3 linked regions of the Neurospora crassa OR74A genome follow. The protein of the gene in region 1 purifies or fractionates together with the protein of each later gene. This does not show direct contact. Links are inferred from orthologs where the notes say so. Each region holds a gene or a part of one and is shown in the gene's direction. Other genes may lie near its edges.

What was found.
Region 2: the proteins of NCU02546 (region 1) and crp-4 purify together in Saccharomyces cerevisiae (affinity purification with mass spectrometry; 5 studies listed by BioGRID, with this or other methods). This does not show direct contact. The link is inferred for Neurospora crassa OR74A from reciprocal best matches to the Saccharomyces cerevisiae genes NOG2 and RPL5.
Region 3: the proteins of NCU02546 (region 1) and NCU05235 purify together in Saccharomyces cerevisiae (affinity purification with mass spectrometry; 8 studies listed by BioGRID, with this or other methods). This does not show direct contact. The link is inferred for Neurospora crassa OR74A from reciprocal best matches to the Saccharomyces cerevisiae genes NOG2 and RLP24.

The regions. Positions count from the first base shown.
Region 1 is NC_026501.1:2,684,129-2,690,704, forward strand, and holds NCU02546 (nucleolar GTP-binding protein 2), read left to right. Parts: upstream 1-2,357; 5' UTR 2,358-2,689; coding exon 2,690-2,999; intron 3,000-3,060; coding exon 3,061-3,426; intron 3,427-3,481; coding exon 3,482-3,645; intron 3,646-4,026; coding exon 4,027-5,046; 3' UTR 5,047-5,505; downstream 5,506-6,576. Other genes in the region: NCU02544 (ABC transporter), read left to right, coding at 1-525; NCU02545 (hypothetical protein), read right to left, coding at 1,044-1,994. UniProt on the Saccharomyces cerevisiae protein: GTPase that associates with pre-60S ribosomal subunits in the nucleolus and is required for their nuclear export and maturation.
Region 2 is NC_026505.1:5,645,007-5,650,947, reverse strand, and holds crp-4 (60S ribosomal protein L5), read left to right. Parts: upstream 1-2,353; 5' UTR 2,354-2,528; coding exon 2,529-2,531; intron 2,532-2,723; coding exon 2,724-2,761; intron 2,762-2,842; coding exon 2,843-3,707; 3' UTR 3,708-3,938; downstream 3,939-5,941. Other genes in the region: NCU04332 (epoxide hydrolase), read right to left, coding at 865-1,812, 1,914-2,048. UniProt on the Saccharomyces cerevisiae protein: Component of the ribosome, a large ribonucleoprotein complex responsible for the synthesis of proteins in the cell.
Region 3 is NC_026504.1:5,662,705-5,668,907, forward strand, and holds NCU05235 (ribosome biogenesis protein RLP24), read left to right. Parts: upstream 1-2,750; 5' UTR 2,751-2,900; coding exon 2,901-2,976; intron 2,977-3,060; coding exon 3,061-3,665; 3' UTR 3,666-4,369; downstream 4,370-6,203. Other genes in the region: NCU05236 (hypothetical protein), read right to left, coding at 283-627; NCU05234 (GTP-binding protein ryh1), read right to left, coding at 5,026-5,375, 5,568-5,697, 5,835-5,923, 6,008-6,033, 6,130-6,176. UniProt on the Saccharomyces cerevisiae protein: Involved in the biogenesis of the 60S ribosomal subunit. Ensures the docking of NOG1 to pre-60S ribosomal particles. Activates and recruits ATPase AFG2 to cytoplasmic pre-60S ribosomal particles.

The DNA.
Region 1 (6,576 bases):
CTGTTCGACATTGTTCCCCTGAGGATCATTCCACCCATCCTGCTTGGCGCAATCATCTACCCGATGACTGGTCTCGTCGCTGACTACCAGCGGTTTTTCGTCTTTATCCTGGTCTTGGTCCTCTTCAACCTGGCCGCCGCCGCTATCTGCCTGTTCATCGGCATCCTTTGTAAGGATGGAGGTGTAGCCAACCTGATTGGCAGCTTGGTTATGCTCTTCAGTCTTCTCTTCGCGGGTCTATTGCTCAACCACAACGCCATTCCGGCTGCGGCACTCTGGCTTCAGTGGCTCTCCATCTTCCATTACGGCTTCGAGGCACTGATTGTCAACGAGGTTACTCAGCTCACTCTTGTTGACCACAAGTACGGTCTCGATATCACGGTTCCCGGCGCCACCATCTTGACCACTTTCGGTTTCGACAACTCAGCAATGTGGAGGGATATCATGAACCTAGGCCTCTTTGGCATGACCTTCATCATCCTTGCTTATGGTGCCATGCATATCCTTCTTGTTGAGAAGAGGTAACCAAACGCTAAAAGACCACATTAGACCACAGTTGCCGGTTAATATGAGCTGGAAGATGTAGCAACTGTTATTAGACCAGCGTGAATGACGGGTTGACTCTGTTAGATCGATGTCTCACTGTCCCTTTTTTTTCTTCTTTCTTTGTGCGCGAAGCTTTCTTGAGGATGGACATGATGAAATGGTTTCTTGGAAATATTGGTTGACACCGGCGTATAGGGTCATGGGCATCATTGTACTATTTAGGCAACAAGTAAAGCGTGTTCTGAGAACGACCGTCTCAGAGAGATAGGGTATCGGAATGAAATACAGCGTTGTAAGTTCAATATGAGTGTTGTGGTGGCTGGGTGTCCTTGGCCGATCTGATTTTATTTGTACACAACACCCCCATAATGTACAAGGTTGCTCGATTCACTAATCGTATAAATCATTACGACAACGCAGCAAACCTTTGACTAATTGTACAACTTTGATAGGGCAGAGAAGGACGTAGGAGATATAGTAGAGTTTTTGCATCCCAACTACAACTTGCCGCCAGTCAACTCCTCGGCCACGTTCTTCTGCCTAACTGTCGTCTTTACGGCGGCTGAAGTGGTGGCAGTAACTCTGTCGTTGAAACCGCTGAACTCGTTTCGCAACTCCCTCATGCTAATGGGGTTCTTCTGCGAATCCCAAATGCTGCGGCCGCTTTCCCAGAGACCGGCGTTGTGGATCTTCTCGGTGAAGTGTTTGTTGACGTGCTCCTCCAGCTCCTTCTCGTCCACGATGAAGTTCTTGGACGCCACGTACAGCTGGACGACGGCGTCCCGGCGCGCCTCGCTCTTCATCGCCTCCTTCTCTGCATGTTTAATACGCGCCTCCTCGGCCTTGACGAAAGCCTCTGGGTCCAGGGGTACGAATGTGTTCTTGGCCGTGCTCTCGCGAATCGTCGCGCGCGTGAACACCTCGTCCAGACGCTCCGGCGCCTGGGCCGCCCGCTTGTTCGCCAAGTAGCGCGCCTTGCTCTCCTTCGCCTGCTTCTGGTCGCGCTTCACCTTGCGCTGCCAGAGTCCCTGCAGACCGGCCTCGAGTGACTGGCGCCGGGCCTCGGCCATCTTGCGACGCCACGACTCTTGTTTCGACTTGGGCGGCAGACCAGCCAGCTCGGCGGCGGACTTGGGAGCGATACGATTGACATAGCCGGATTGGACCTTCTCCGGGACGCCCTTCTTTGGGAAAATGGAGCGGGGGATCGGGAGGTGGCCCTTGACGAAAGGGTGCCTAACCTCGGAAGACTGCGGCGGCTCGGGGACCTTGATGTAGTTGGGCGAATCGGGGGGGATGGAGACCGAGTCTCTAGCCGATCGGGTGGTGCTGAAAGATCGGGCGGCGATGGCGCGTGTTACTACGCTGGTGGCAGCGCATGTTGTGGTCGGGGAAGAAAGGATAAATTGCACGCCGCTGAGCGACGGCCTGGCAAGAGTTGGCGCCATTTTTGAGGTGGAGGGTTGGCTGAAGACGGGGTGAGCGGGATGGGGTCGGAGTTGGGAGACTTCTGGCCGGGCCGTGCTATGCGGAGGTTTCGTGCGACGGAGGGAACGGACCAGGCGGGTGCAGCGGCCTCTCGCTCTCCTAGGTAGGTAGGTTCGGCTCGGGATCGTGGGACACGCCGCGGTACGAGGGGGCTTTCAACTCCGTCGAAATTCTGAAAGCTCGGGGAGGCCAGAACGGCGCTAGAGTGCTCTTGGTGCTACTAGCTTTGCTGGTCGCGGGCGTTCTGCCGTCGTACACCGCTAAACTTTTTGTGCATGGGGACCTTTGCGCGGCCTCCACACCCCGCCCAAAAAAAAAACTGACAAAACTTTCGCCGGGACCAGTCGCAGAGTTGCATTTCCTCCTTCTCATTCCTTCCTCGCTTCCCTCTCTTCTTTTCTTCTTCCCCAGTCCATTCATCCTCTCGATTCTCACGCAACACCCTCTGCCGATATCTGATACCCCATAGCCTCGTTTCTAGCCTTTTACCCATTCTTCCCTATTTTCGTGTGCTTCTTCTTTCAAGTCAATCTCAAACCCCCCGATCTACGGATACCCCCAGCCGCTCTCGCAGGCGAGAACGAAATTCTTCCACATCTGCATCCTCTACCCACCAACCTACTCGGTAATCTGGCATTGAGTGATATCTGCCAAAATGGGAACAGGAAAGAAGGAAAAGTCTCGCATTCAGCGACAGGGCAAGGTGACGGGTGATCCAAAGGTCAAGGGCGAGAACTTCTACCGGAGCGCAAAGAAGATCAAGGCCTTGAACGTGCTGAAGGAGGGAAAGGCCATTCGCAACAAGGAGGGCAAGGTCGTCAAGGCCGCGTCGTATCAGAGCAGAGATGTTCCCACAGCCGTCATCGAGCCGAACCGGAGATGGTTCAACAACACCAGAGTCATTTCGCAAGATACGTTGACATCTTTCCGGGAGGCGATTGCCGAGAAGGACAAGGATCCTTACTGTACGTTCAACTCTTCCGTCACTTGTCCGGCCGACCAAGACTAACGCACCTTGTCTTGTAGCGGTGCTGTTGAAAAGCAACAAGCTCCCCATGAGCTTGATCAGAGATGGACCCAAGGATGCGTTGAAGAAGCACCAAGCCAAGATGACGATTGAGAGCGAGCCGTTTTCACAGACCTTTGGCCCCAAGGCCCAAAGGAAGAGGCCAAAACTCAGCTTCAACACGATCGGTGACTTGACAGAACACAGCGAGAAGAGCATGGATACATACCAGGCCAGACTCGAGGAGATCAAGCTTCTAAGTGGTGCTTCTGGATATGGCGGTGGTCTTGCCGATGACGATGTTCAAGAGGAGGATTTCAGTGTCGCGACGGCCAAGGAGGCTATCTTCACAAAGGGCCAGTCGAAGCGTATTTGGAACGAACTGTGTAAGTCCTTCTGTGTTTGGGGACTTGTGACTTCGGGTTGCTAACCATCACATAGACAAGGTCATTGATTCGTCAGATGTCATCCTGCACGTTATCGATGCCAGAGATCCTCTGGGAACCAGGTGTCGTCACGTTGAGAAATACCTTGCCACTGAGGCTCCTCACAAGCATCTTATTTTCGTGCTGAACAAGATCGATCTTGTTCCTTCCAAGACTGCTGTAAGTGTAGACCATTATTTGCTTTCACTCCTTCTGCTTGAATCTCTTGACTTGCCTCGCGCAAATCCTGAGGTTCCCAGGGATTTTGTCAGGATCTTTCCCGCATTCAGTTGCGCTTCATTGGGATTGGTCTGTTACATCGCTGGGAGATTAATATCCACCTCCCAACCTCTCTGGTCCCGTCTTGGGATTGGGGATTTGATGGACTCCGTTTTGGAGGACTTCACGGGATACCGGACGTGTTTCGTTTGAGTTGAATTCCACCCTGCCTTTGAGCAGACTCTACCATGGTGGTCTTCTTAGTTATGATTCACACATTTCTTCACATTATACATATATGTTATATTCAGTAACGAGTTGAGGACTAACTGAAAACAATAGGCCGCGTGGATTCGCGTTCTGCAGAAGGATCATCCTACATGTGCTATGAGATCTAGCATCAAGAACCCCTTCGGTCGTGGTTCTTTGATCGATCTTCTCAGACAGTTCAGTATCCTGCACAAGGACAGGAAACAGATCAGCGTCGGTCTTGTTGGCTACCCCAACGTCGGCAAGTCGAGTATCATCAATGCCCTTCGTGGGAAGCCCGTTGCTAAGGTCGCCCCTATTCCCGGAGAGACCAAGGTCTGGCAGTACGTCACCTTGATGAGGAGGATCTACCTCATCGACTGCCCTGGCATTGTTCCTCCCAACCAGAACGATACGCCACAGGATCTCCTGCTCCGTGGTGTTGTACGTGTGGAAAACGTCGATAACCCGGAGCAATACATCCCTGCGGTATTGAACAAGGTCAAACCTCACCACATGGAGAGGACATATGAGCTCAAGGGCTGGAAGGACCATATTCATTTCCTTGAGATGCTTGCTAGGAAGGGCGGCAGACTTCTCAAGGGTGGTGAGCCTGACGTTGATGGCGTTGCGAAGATGGTTCTCAATGACTTCATGCGAGGCAAGATTCCTTGGTTCACGCCTGCCCCCGAAAAGGAGGAGGGTGAGACTGATACCATGGAGGGTCGCGAAGGACGCTACGGTGAAATGTCCAAGAAGCGGAAACGTGACGAGGACGACAGCGCGCCTGCTACCACTCCCGCTTCAGCAGGAGAGGATGCCAAGGAGGAAGACCCTGAGAACTTTGCCGGGTTCGACAGTGACAGCGACTCTGAGGTCGAAGAGGCTGCTGAGGAGAAGGGTGAGGAGAAGAGCACTGCTGAAGATATGATACCCCTGGACGCGTCGAGCGATGAGGAAGAGGATGGCGAGGAGGAGGGCTCTGACGTCGAAGATGACGAGGAAGGATCCGACCTCGACATCGAAGGAGCCAGCGAACTCGAAGAGTCTGAGTCAGAAGCCGAGGCTGCGCCAGCACCTCCCCCGAAGAAGCAAAGGAGGAGCAGGAAGTAAACTCGGTCAGTGAACGCGATGGGCGGCTGGGGTGAACCGAGCATGCGTTCAATAGCCGACCTCAGGGTTGGTAACGATCCAATCGGATCATGACGGCCGGTGTCACTGATAATAAACTGTTGAGGACTTGGGCATAACCTCAGTATGGCGTTTGTTGCCCGTCGATTTTCATTCCCACCTGCCGTCTTCTATGTGATTAAGGAAAAATTGTGATATTCGTTTGTCATTTGTACTTGTTTCTGGAGTTCTGTATGCATGTTCGTGGCATTCTTAGGTTTGGGAGGACATGCGAACGGCTGTTGCATTAAAAAAAGCTTAGTAGCTCCTCTCTCCTCATAGTTATCCCTCTATTGGAGAGGTTTTGAATGCTCTCGCCTAGGATATCACCACATGCGATCTCGTTACGAAGAAGAATATACAAGTTCCGATACCCGTGTGCTCAAATCAAGATCATTTCACTCTGCCATGCCCGCATATTGTGTGGTTGTATTTGTACCCTGAACGGTTTAGGTAGCACAAGAAACCTGGCCATCTCTTCACATGTCAACTCGACTTCATCATACCTCTCTACCTGGTGTTTACGAGACATTTATGGCAATTCAAGCATCCTAAATGAGCTACTGAGCAAGGTAAATCTAACATTATCAGAATGAAGTCGGACCAGCAGTTTTCGGATTAAAAGTTTTTCCTAACGCACAAGTACAAAGCAACCGGCAGGAGCGCTTCTAGCCCAGACGAGTGCACACAGTACATAGCAAAGGATCCAGAACGCCACACTTTCAATCTCCATTCAACCCCCAATCTTCACGGGGTTAATGTTGAAGTATACCATTCTGCCGTATGCCGGACGATGTACCAGCGACGCTATCCCCGCCTGTGACGATGGACATATGACAAGTGATGACGTTCCCTTGGACTCTGTCTAGAAATCGCTTGCGATCATCATGAAAGATCTAGACCGTCAAGAAGACCCTTATGACTCTCTAGCTTGTGTGTGAAGATACATATCGAAGGTGTAGGTACTTTATATCGAGTGCGACAATCTGACACTGACAACATGACATCAGGCGGGCAAGGGCAGTTAGTTCCATATCACCACTTTTACAGGACCTGAGTAAGGGTACAAACGTTGACGAAATTGGCTCTTCTACTCCGGTTGATTGTTGCACTTGCACGGGCACGGGGCGAACACGAATTCAATTTCTCAACCTCTTGAAAATCCATTTTGTGATCAGTTCCCTCGGGTATGGTAGTCTGTGATGTGTGCTCAGTGTGGCGTGGAACTTCCGTATTGGATGTTATGGGGTCAGACTGGGCTTATAAATAATATTGATGTGCTCTTCGGTCCGCTGTCCTCGTTGTGAAACTACCCACCACCCTCAAGTATTGGTTGTTTGGAAAGGGAACGGGAAACTCCCAAGATTTGGAATTTTATGAAACGTCAGGGCAGTGAGAGGGGAGTAGTGTAGAGACGGGGCATTGTGATTTGTAAGGTTGCGTGGTGCAATAGTGCCCCTTGTTGAAGTTGAC
Region 2 (5,941 bases), on another chromosome or scaffold:
ATGAGGCTTCTCTTCTATATAATAGCGAATGAATACCAACAAACATCTAGCGGTTATCACTGTGGCTTGGAAGATAAGATGGTCCTTTGGAAGAAAGAGTGATAGCATAACTCAAAGCTTGAAGAGGGAAACGTGATCACAGCTACGGGAAATCTGGGGAAAGTTCAGGGCATTTTGTTAAGGAGGGTAAAGAGAGGAGATGATGGATGGTTTGATGGAATGAGGAGGACAGGATCTTGGTCTTGGTCTTGGCTGGGGTGAAGTTGGTGGGCTGAGAGGTGAATGGATGATACCTACTTAGACAACATAAAACAAACTTGAAAAGGAGAGACGGCAGTCTAAAAGATGAGGAATCGAAGAGAATAAATCAAAAGGGGCTATGTGTATGAAACATGAATCTCAAGATGGTGTATGAACTACGTTAGACAAGTAGAAGTTATATATCACTTGACCACTTTGAACTGGTCGTTCTACATCGTTTTGGGCATTTGTGGATGGATCATAGAGGTTGTGGTGATGAGATGCGCGACAAAGGTCGATTAAACTCGTGGGATAAGTAGCAAAAATAGTAAATATACACATGTACCATAGAATTTCATTTTGAAAAGGCGTGATTCCCGAAAATACAAAGTGCCAGGAGGTACCTACCTCTAGTGAAAACGACAGGGCCGTGTCTGGACTGAACCCAGGAGCGTATAGATATTCTCACAACGGTCTGACACGTCCTTCGCAGTGATCATAAATGTAAGCACACCGAACAGTACATTAGTAGTTATCAGGACTTCACACATGAATCATGAAAACAGTCAGATTCTTTTTCATCATCAACTCATACCTAACACCCCATGTCAATCATCAGCATTATCACAACTTCGCCTTCGCCTCCTTCGCAGCACTAAAGTCCGGCTTCACCGCAATCCTCGGGTGATCCCCAGCCAGCTTCAACCCCGTCACGTTCTCCAGCTCATCAACCGCCTCAAACGCCTTTCCCAACCCAACCTTGATAGTCCTAAACCCAGCCTTCCTCGCCGCCTTCAGATTCTCCCCAATGTCATCCAGAAACACAACATCCTCCGGCCTCACCCCTTCTGCCCAACCGCCCCTCTTCCCCCTTTCGGAGTCAGCATTTGCCCTCGCAAACTGATCTACCTTTTCAAGCGCCAACTGATAGATCCTCGGATCCGGCTTTCTTAACCCCACATGCGCCGACGAAATGAAAACATCAAATAGCTGTCGCAACGGATCGCTGAAGAAGTCCCCCTTCTCCGCCCACTTGTGCCCCTCCGGCCAGATCACCGTATTACTCAGTGCCGCGACGACGAACCGTCCGTCTTCCTTGAGTTTTTGGAGGGCGGGAAACATCCAGGGGTCTGGAGCTCGAGCGTGCTCCATCATGTCGTGGAATAGCCACTCGCCGTCGATTTGGGGGATGGGCGGGATCGATAGTAGTTCATCAGAGCCAGAAGAAGAACCAGAAGAAGAAGAAGATGAAGAAGATGAAGAAGATGATGATGATGATGATGATGATGATGATGATGATGATGATGATGATGAGGAGCGGTGATGGTGGTGGTGCTTTTTGGCTTGTTGGTGGTGGTGGTGGTGAGACCGGTAGAAGGATTCCCAGAGGGATTGGTTGTGCAGGTCCCGGTTGAAGCCGGCGAAGAAGGCAGCGTCCATGGGAATGGAACCGGTTTCGAGACGGTGCCAGAAGCCTGAAGGGGCGGAGCGCGAGATGGAGTGGTTGATCCAGCCTGGGGGGATGGAGTGACGGAGTTCGTAGTTGAGGATGGACTGGAAGGGGGAGATGACCTGGGTTTGTGTTAGTTATTTAGTTATGTTGGTGTTGTTTTGTGAGGGGTAGATGTATTTGTGTATATAAGTGAAGTGGTGATGTGGTCATGTTGACTTACACAGACGCCGCCAATGTCAAAGAGGATGACTTTGGGCTTGGGGGACCCGGAGGACCTTTTCCCTTTGAGGATGGTTGGCGCCATGTTGTCGATGGCTTCAAGAATGTATTCAGGGGGAAACTCTTCAGGAAGCATCACACTATAATGTCATGGGACTTTGGGGGTATAAGGATGTTTGGATTCATCTATCAACAACATTGGACCTCCGCACATTGGCACCAGGAAGCGATTAGTGAAGTGAATGGTACACTATACTAGACCTCGGTTCGGGACAGTGATTGCCAGAGGTCGACGGCTACTGAAGCCCGAGACTACTTACAATGCCATTGGCAGAGCCCACAATTGCCTGCCGCTTGCGTGAAATTCTTGGCGCTAGGTCGTCGCCCACCGTGGCGCCACGGCAAAGCATGGGTGAGTGAATCGGTCGTCGCCAACCTGAGTTGACAACCCAGCGGTCAGCCGACCAATCAGGCGCGCTCTTGTTCTTAGGGTTGTGGGGATTGTAGTGCGAAATTCCTGCCCACCAAAGTTTGTTCGCGATCTCGAAATTTCCCTTCTGACAACCCAGCCCGTCTCAAGACCGTTTGTTGAGTGCACCCAGCAAAAGTAGTCAAAATGGTAAGTTGACGACCTACGGCGTGCGTCGCGGCCGTTCAGCAATGAGCGACCAGCGGCTGCGTTCAAATCACACACCATTCCCAGAGGGAAACTTGGGGGAAATTGAGGAGAAAGAGAGTCAACGCAAGATGCTTCGGAGAGGAGGAAATATTCTGAAGCGATAATTGCTGACTCGGGGATTTTGATTGTCAGGCCTTCCACAAGCTTGTCAAGAACAGCGCGTACTACAGGTAAGCAGATGTTCTCTTTTTGAAAATCCGAGAAAAATCGATAGGAGCTCGGGGTTCGCTAACATTCAATCCGCCCAACAGTCGCTTCCAGACCAAGTACAAGCGCAGAAGAGAGGGCAAGACCGACTACTATGCCCGCAAGCGCCTCATCACCCAGGCCAAGAACAAGTACAATGCTCCCAAGTACCGCCTGGTTGTCCGCTTCACCAACCGCGACATCATCCTCCAGATTGTGAGCTCCGAGATCACCGGCGACAAGGTCTTTGCCTCCGCCTACTCCCACGAGCTCAAGGCCTACGGCATTGAGCACGGTCTCACCAACTGGGCTGCTGCCTACGCCACCGGTCTCCTCCTCGCCCGCCGTGTCCTCAAGAAGCTCGGCCTCGACGAGACCTTCAAGGGTGTTGAGGAGGCTGACGGTGAGTACAAGCTCACCGAGGCCGCCGAGACCGACGATGGCGAGCGCCGCCCCTTCAAGGCCTTCCTTGATGTCGGTCTTGCTCGCACCTCCACCGGTGCCCGTGTCTTCGGTGCCATGAAGGGTGCCTCCGACGGCGGTATCTTCATCCCCCACTCCGAGAACCGTTTCCCCGGTTACGACATGGAGTCCGAGGAGCTCGATGCCGAGACCCTCAAGAAGTACATCTTCGGCGGTCACGTCGCTGAGTACATGGAGACCCTCGCCGACGACGATGAGGAGCGCTACAAGTCCCAGTTCAACCGCTACATTGAGGACGATCTTGAGGCTGATGGCCTTGAGGACCTCTACGCCGAGGCCCACGCCGCCATCCGCGAGGACCCCTTCAAGAAGGCCGAGTCCGAGGCTCCCAAGAAGACCAAGGAGGAGTGGAAGGCCGAGTCCCTCAAGTACAAGAAGTCCAAGCTCACCCGCGAGCAGCGCGCTGCTGGTGTCCAGGAGCGCATTGCCGCTCTCCGCTCGGAGTAAATTGGAAGTTGTTATGGACTTTGCTAGGGGTTGAACAACCTTTTGGGAGGAAACAGGTTCTGTTCATTCGATGCGCATGGGTGCGAAATCATCTGGGTCATGGGGATGACATGGTCTCTCAAAAGGGTTCATCTAAAAGCCAATCAACTTTCTTCTGTCTTGAGCAAAAGAGCATTACTCGGCGTTCGTTCATGTGATACCTCAATCGTAATTTGATCTTCCTTTTCCCATTTGAGACTCGACGCTGTCCATCTTTTCTTGTGATTGATTACCTTTCCAAAATCTCCAAAACCGGTGCTGACCGACGGCAAATTCTCGTGAAACACGATTCATGTAAAGTCATCCATACTCTCTCACTTCCACCGCCAAGCAATGTCATTTGCTTGGGGATGAAGATCAACTTTACAAATCTCACGAGTCATTGACCCCTCACGATTCATGGTAGGTTGCTACTGTGCGCTACATGTACACTATAACTCGATACAGGTTTGTTCGTTGTTTGTTAGTCCGAGACCTTCTAGCCAACTTGTCCCGGCCTTTCAACAAACAATTCAAGGTTGATGTGTGTTTTTCTTATCGATGACGGGATTCTCAAGATGAGTAGAGCTAAGGTATGAATTCATATCTAATTGGACAAACTGGACAAATTCTGTTTTTTTGCCTCCCCCTCCCCTTCCCCATTTGTAACTTTTATATATTTTTCTCCGAGTTCCATTGATCGCGCGGCATTCAAGATGGATGGATGGATGGGGTTAGTTTGGCAAGTGTCTTACTCGGGTACTCAGAGGGGGTACTACAAACCGGTATATCGTTCAAAACACACACACAAAACAAAACAAAACAAAACAAAACAAAACAACCCGCGAAATACCGAGACGAGACAAGATGCGGGGGATCAGCGGGTAGCTAGCTTGTATTCCACTAGGGTTTCAGAACTTTTTTTCTTTCTCATGGTGAAAAGCATGCCGGCCCAAACACACACACAATGCCGGATAATGCCGGTTTATGATAGATGGGGGTGGACAGATGGATGGATGAATGGATGGATGGATGAATGGATGGATGGATGAATGGATGAATGGAAATGACAGGACTGACGGACTGACGGACTGACTTGATGCGAGTGGGACTTGGAAGGTTGATTGTTCGTGGTGTGTTAGTTGGTGAAGAGGAAGGATAGGCAGACAAAGGTAATCTCGAGAGGACGGGGAATTCCCTGCCTTCGATGCCTTCAATGCCTGTTGAAGAAATGGTGAAGGTGTGGTGAAGGTGTGTAGTATGGTGAAGGTGACCGACCAGTGATGTGTGACAAAGGTGAACGATCACCTTGCGGGTTGTCTGTCACTGGGTGAACCTTGAAACTTTAAAACGGTCAGCTGGTCATGTGGTGTCGTGTGGTGTGGTTGAGGTTGAGGTTGTGGTTGAGGTTGCCTGTGGTGTAGTGTATGATCTTGATCATCTCGAAATTGAAGACCAGGTAAGTAAGGAGGGGCGTTGATCAATCATGCACATGCTTCTTTACTGCTTCTTCTTCTTCACAGCTTTAACCCTGCTTATTCTACCAGAACTTCAACTTGAGCATACGGTATTCTCACCCGTATTTGGAGAAGGATGAGAAATGTGAAACTTTGAGGGAAGGACGGTAGAAGGTTACACAAGAAAAAGTGTGTAGTTTAACCGCTTGACAAGGTCGGTTTCTTTTGGTTTTCATTTCCCCAAAAATCTCATGAATGATCAAGGATGGTTAGCCGCGCCGCTGCCTGAAATGATGAGATGAGATGAGCCAGTCACTACTCTCTAGAGGTAATCACTAGACAACAATAGTGTTGAAGATCTGATCTGATGACAACCGAATGGTAGTTTATATTCAATTCAGTAGTAGCGTCCTTTACATTATCAGGAATATTCTGGGAGTTCCGTCTGGCTGATAAATCATCTTCTATCTGTCTGTCTCTCAGTCAAGCGCTTACACTTAGTAGTGTAGTTGGAAAGCCAGAGACTAGCTAACTAGCTAGTCACTTAGTTTGCTGGGCAGCGTTTGTGCGAAAATCTTACAAATTTGTAAAGGGCCGCCGGAGTTAGTTATAATGAATGTCTCCAAAACGGTCGTCGTCTATCGGAGTATACCACGAACTTGATCAGTGCGTACATATATGTCTGTGCTTGCTTGGCTGCGGGGGCTGGATTTCATGAAGGTTTATTGTTTCGTGCCTGTATGCTATGGATGGATGGAT
Region 3 (6,203 bases), on another chromosome or scaffold:
GACTGCTGCTGCCATGAACAAGAAGTGGTAATCGCCACTTTGGACAAAGGCATCATGGTCAAACCACCAACAGTAACCTTTGTTGTTGTTACCCATGCTAGGAGAAACCAAGACATTGTTCGCCGTTCCGTCAATCCCGTCCCGATCCGATCCCGATCCATAACCCATGACAAAAACGACCTTCCCTTCCAAAAACTCCGGCTATGCCGTGTTACAAACCGTCCATCCATCCATATCCATTGTCCAGCCCTTAGTCCGTCCCCCTGATTACATCTGAAACGCTCACTCCATAGTCCAATTGTGCTTGATCATCTCCAACGGCTTCATGCTCTTCTCCGCGACATGGCTCGTAGCCACAGCCGCTTTCTCGAGAGGCAAGTCGTGCTCGACGCGATGAACGGCGCGTTCAACGGGAGGTGTGATGCGCTGGATGCCGCGCTCGACAGGTACGTGGTTCGTAAAGTAGTTGATGTTGCGCTCCCATCGGGGAGCCCACTTGGCCGTCGCCCGAGCCACGCGCTCTTCGGCACCGGGGATACCCATGGCGAGCGGGGCGAGCGTGCCGACGCCGGCAGCGCCGAAGAAGATGTACTCGGTCATGCCGGCGGCAGGGATGCGGACGACCATTTTGGTGGTTGTTTTGGGGGTTTGTTTGTTTGAGAGGAGATGCTGTGGTTGGGTTAGTGGGTTGTGTCGAGTGAGGGTAAATGTGGTGTTGAAGGAAGATGAGGCAGTGACGTGTGTGTGGTGGTGAGCAGAGGAGATGCAGTTGATGAAGGAAAGGAAGAGATGACAGTTCTGACAACCGGGTATAAAGTTTTGTCATCCAGCGATGCTGTTCAAAGGAGTGACCACGGAATGGATCACAGACGTACCTCTACTTGTGGTTGAGTGTTCTTTGCTTGATCAGCAGTTGATGCTGTACTCTTCGAGTGTTATAGGTTGCTCTTTACTCGTGTGTCTGGACAAGTCTTTGAAACGAGGATGAGTGTTCTCTCCAGGTGCCACGAGGAGAAGAAGCAGATATATAACGAGTGGGAGAGACGGGAGTCCCCTTTATGTGGCAGAAATGGGAACCACAACATAAAGCAGCAGGTATTGTTACTGCTTGTTAGACTGTCAGGGTCTTGGTGGTAGTTCACCCTCCTTCCCCATGCAGTGTCCTTAACTCGATATCATCTTTTTGAGGGGAGATGCCCAAGCCTTGACCTCCTGTTGTGCCACTTCCCCTCCCCGGTTTGCCTTGCAGCAAGTGGACGGTCTAGACAGGGAGCCACCGCTCACCTCCGCCTTTCTCGCCTGCACCTCCTGCTTTTCTTCCTCTGTTGTGAGTAGTTACTATGTCCAACGGCTTCTCGAGACCTGGAACCGTCTGGCTGAGGCATGGTGTAACCCAGGATTGAGCGGGGTAGGAGTGGCAGGCAATATCCAAAATCCAATCATCTCGAGTGGCTGGACGTCACTTTTGTATCACAGCGGCCCGTCTGTGAGTTCCGTCGTCTGATTCTGTGATGTCTAATGGCACCACGGAGCGAGGAGTGGTCCGGTGCGCGTGTGCTGTGGCTGGGGGAGGAAGCAGTAGGTGTTGGGTTTGTAATTTTGATCCTTTGTACATTTCAGTAGATACCAAGTTTGAGAAGGAAGATTACGGTGAACCGCATGGGATAATTACCGACAAGAAACTGGAAAGAGATAGCGACATCTTGACTTTCCTATACTTAGTGTACGGTTTGTATCAGGAAAGAACGATCTCGGGACCCTTACTGTCGCAGGGCAGGAGCTAGTCTGGTGGAGCCTCAGGGGAACCCGACTCCACTTTTGACGCTTTCCCCGGATTCCGTCCCCGCATCTTTGAGTTAGCGCTGTGGATCTGATGGGGCTCTCGGTCAGCACCCGACCCTCAACTCCGCTGTGAGTGAGATGAAAGGAGCACTGTGATTGGGGAAGGAGTGAGGAAAGTCCATTGCACTTCAAGTTCAATCTGAGAGACGGAGATGCGTTATATCAACCAAGTGTCAAGGAAGACCTCTTTTTGTGTAAAGCCTAAGTAGTCACCTTCAACAGACACTGGCCTACTGCCGACGGAGTTTCCATCACAGAAGGTCTTGATCATTGTGAGAAATGACAGACAATTCAAGATCCGATTTCGCCACAGTCTCCGAGAAGAACTTGACGCCTTCAGTTGTAACTCGAATAGATTCTTCAGACATGGTAAAAATTGCAGTCACGAACACCGATGATACCCGGTGTTGAACATTGTAGAGGGTGTCAGACTTTAATCGTTAGCAGTAACTGATGGGAAAGAAAGAGAGTGGAGCTAGCAATGTTAGGGTCCGCGAGAGTCCTGTTAACAGAAACCAATGCCATCTTGGTGACTGAACATTGTCGCGAAGCGAAAAGATCGTGAGCTCAAGAAGTATTGTTGGATGGATCGGGGAATATACTGATTTGGGAAAAGTAAACATGCCCGTCGACTTGAGCATCATGGCCATCGCTTGTCGAGAGAGCATCGAAAGTAAGCAGCCGCAATTGCCGGCCAACTTACATCGAGGAATCGATCATCGGGAACCATCATTGTCAAATCAAGAGAAAAGAACCGTCTGGGCTGGCGTATATGCACGCTCAACCCTAACCCGAGTCTTGTCGGCTGATAGCACGATAGCGCTAAGATAAGCCAAGCGTCCCCTCCGCCCCACTTTACTTTTCCAACACCGACATCCAGAAATTTTCAGAAGCGGCGCCCTTGACCGTTTCGCTGTTGTTGACTTTGTTGCTTGCTTCCCCCTCTCCTCCCCCCCCTCCCGAACAGACAACGAGCCCATCCTCACCCGGCTCGCTGCTTCTCTCCTCAACCACCACCACCACCACCACCACCACAACCACCCACATAACCCGTCAAGATGCGTGTCGATCCCTGTTTCTTTTGCGGCCGTCCGGCCTGGCCCTCCAAGGGCATTACCTTTATGCGTAACGATGGTATGTTTTTGTCATACTTCAGTTCCCCATCATCAACCTCTCCGTCAAGGCCAATTGCTAACCAGGGTACAACTAATGTTACAGGCAAGTCCTTCCGCTTCTGCCGCTCCAAATGCCACAAGAACTTCAAGATGAAGCGCAACCCCCGCAAGCTCAAGTGGACCAAGGCCTACCGCAAGAACGCCGGCAAGGAGATGGTGGTCGACAGCACCCTGCAGTTCGCCGCCCGCCGCAACGTGCCCGTCCGCTACGACCGCGAGCTCTTCGCCAAGACGGTCAAGGCCATGGAGCGTATCTCGGAGATCCGCCAGCGCCGCGAGCGCATCTTCTACAAGCGCCGCATGGCCGGCAAGCGCGCCCGCGAGGTCGCCGCCGCCCGCAAGCTCGTCGCCGAGAACGAGCACCTCCTCCCCCGCCTGCGCGGTTCCGAGAAGAGGAGGCTGGCCGAGCTCGCCCAGGAGACGGGCCAGGACGTCGAGGAGCTCGAGCGCGAGGAGCTGGCCAAGAAGGCTGCCAGCAAGAAGACCAAGGCGTTTGGCGGCGAGGTCAAGAGGCTCCGTGTCAGGACAGACGGCGGCGTGGAAGAGATCTCGGAGCGCGTCGCTGGTGGAGGCTTGGTCGATGAGGATGACGATGACGAGAACGATTTCGAGGACGTGGACGATGACGACGAGATGGATACCGACTGAGCGCCCGAGTCTCTGTAACTATTACTACCGCGACCACCACCACCGCCAACCACCACCACCACCATCACCAACACCGAAACCAGCCACCTCTTTTCTCGGGATCATTCGTTGTTTGCTTGTTTTCTTCGGACGAACTCGCTCCCGCGGCTGTCGATATCCCTATGCGGGGGAGGGTTCTGCTGTATTTTTTCGGCGGCCTTTCCTCGCCACTGAGACCTGCCTAGTTGACACCAGCAACAAAGCCCAACTACGACGAACGGGTCTTGGTGTATAAAGACGGAACGACCAGAAAGAGGACAGGACAGACAGCAATTGGTTGACCAACAGCCAATACTCTAACTGTAAAAACAGTAACTGTGGCTTTGGACAGACAGACAATCCTCCCCCCCGAGCGATGGCTGCTTTCGGGGCTTGCTTATACCCCTTGCTTGGTTGGTTGGTCGTTGGTCGCTACAGGTCATTGGAAAGATTCATTATATTCAGAACCATGGTTTTCAAGGGGGGGATCAATCAGTCTACCTTTAGTAGCAAAGCATATTTTCGGTTTTATTGGAATCGGCGAATTTGGCGTTTAATAGACACGGGGAGACCCACAATATGAAGTACTTGTTTGTTTTTTTCTTTCTGCCATGTCTTGTCTTGTTTTATAGTAGTAATCCTCAGTACTTTCTGACTCGACAAGTTACTCGTTTCTGTCTTCTGCCAACGTGACTGACCTCTGTAGCTCGAGACCTGACTAGGTATCCTAGCCAAGGATATATCCAAGGTCAATCTTGGACTACTACCCGTTCGTTGATTCCATCTTGCACTCAGTCGACAACACAACAACTCTAAACAACACCTAAAAGACACAGTTGGTTCAAGTCGGTAACTAAATACAAAGTATTATATCTTTTATCATTTGTATTATTATAAGCGTTAAGACCCGACAAAACCAAACCAACCCCTTCCTTCGCATGCTAATGCTCCGATCGCCTTGCTTTAGCCAGCCAGCCAAACCGTAAGCACAAAGCACAGCCAAGTTTCTCATTATAGTTTGCTTCCCCATTTGTCAGGTTGTCTAGCCCACCCACCTCTATTTCCCTCCCCCCACCCCCCATCATCATCATCATCAAGTTCCATCTCATTCTCTCATCATATATTTACCCCATTATATCGTTAACCTCGTTAACATCGTCAACATGATCATCATCCCCATTGCTGTCTTCATCCCCAGCCGTCACGGTTTCCCAACCAGCACGCCCTTTCCCTAGGGAAGAGGAATTCAGCTTGTCCTGCCCTGATCAGACCAGAGCAGACCAGACGAGAGCAGACCAAACCGCACCAGGCCGCCAGACCAGTCAGACCAGTCCAGTCAGTCTTAACAAGCGCACCCTTCCTGCGCCACCGTCTCCTTACTGCTGACATCGATCCTTGTCGCCGCCGCCCCCGTGCCCGCACCACCGGCACCTTCCCCACCGGTGCCCTCCATCCCGGGCAAGGCCTGGGCTATCCTCTTGAACAGCGTCTTGACGTTGTGGCCCAGCTTTGCCGACGTCTCGACAAACATGAGGTTGTTGCGCCGGGCCTCCTCCTCGCCCTGCGCCGTGGTCACTTCGCGCTTGTCGTTCAGATCCGTCTTGTTGCCCACCAAGACAATGATCACGTCGTTGCCGCGCTCGGCGCGCACGTCGTCGATCCATTTTCGTGTGTTTTGGAAGGATTTGGCGTCTGGTGTTGGTTATGAATGTTAGTGTCCTGTTTCTTTGGGGGAGGTTTTGAAATTGGTGGCTTGAGGGGAGGAGGGGGGGGGGGGGGGGAAATAGCGGGGGTGGAAGGCGGTGAGGGGGGGGATTTGGGGAGAGAGAGGATGGTCAAGAAAGGCGGAAGAGAAAAGAAAAGAAATATCATAACATAACATACTCGAAATGTCATAAACTACCACGGCTACTGACGAGTCGCGGATGTACGAAGGGATCAAAGAGCGGAAACGCTCCTGGCCGGCTGTGTCCCAGAGCTGTAGGCGGACTGTTCGGTCTTCGAGGTACATGGTCTTTTTCCCCCCCGTAAAGTTAGCCAAAGGCTCTCATCTTGTTCTACTAGTTCTTGGGTCTTTGCAACTGTCGCGCATTGTCTGTCTGGGAAGGAAGGGCGGTAAAGAATTGAATGGGAGACGGGGGTCGAACATGCCTTGGAAAGGAAATCGATACCAATGGTGGCTTGGTACATGTTATCGAACGAGTCGTACATGAAGCGTGTGATGAGCGACGTCTTGCCGACTGTTTGCGCGCAATCGTTGAGTTAGCATTGGTGTCTCGGAGAACATCGTGGAGAAAGTGTTGTAGGTTGAGGTAATCGCATACCGCTTTGTTCGCCCAAGAAGACCAACCTGGCGAGGAGAAAGAGTGGTTAGCATCTTGTCTTGTTTTGTCTTCCATTTGACTTAAGTGCATTGTCTGCAAAAGTGTCGGGTATGTTGTCTTACTTGAATTTCTTCAAGGGGTTGTTGTATGACCCGCCTGCTTGCGCCATTGTGATGGATGTGTTTGCGGATTAACG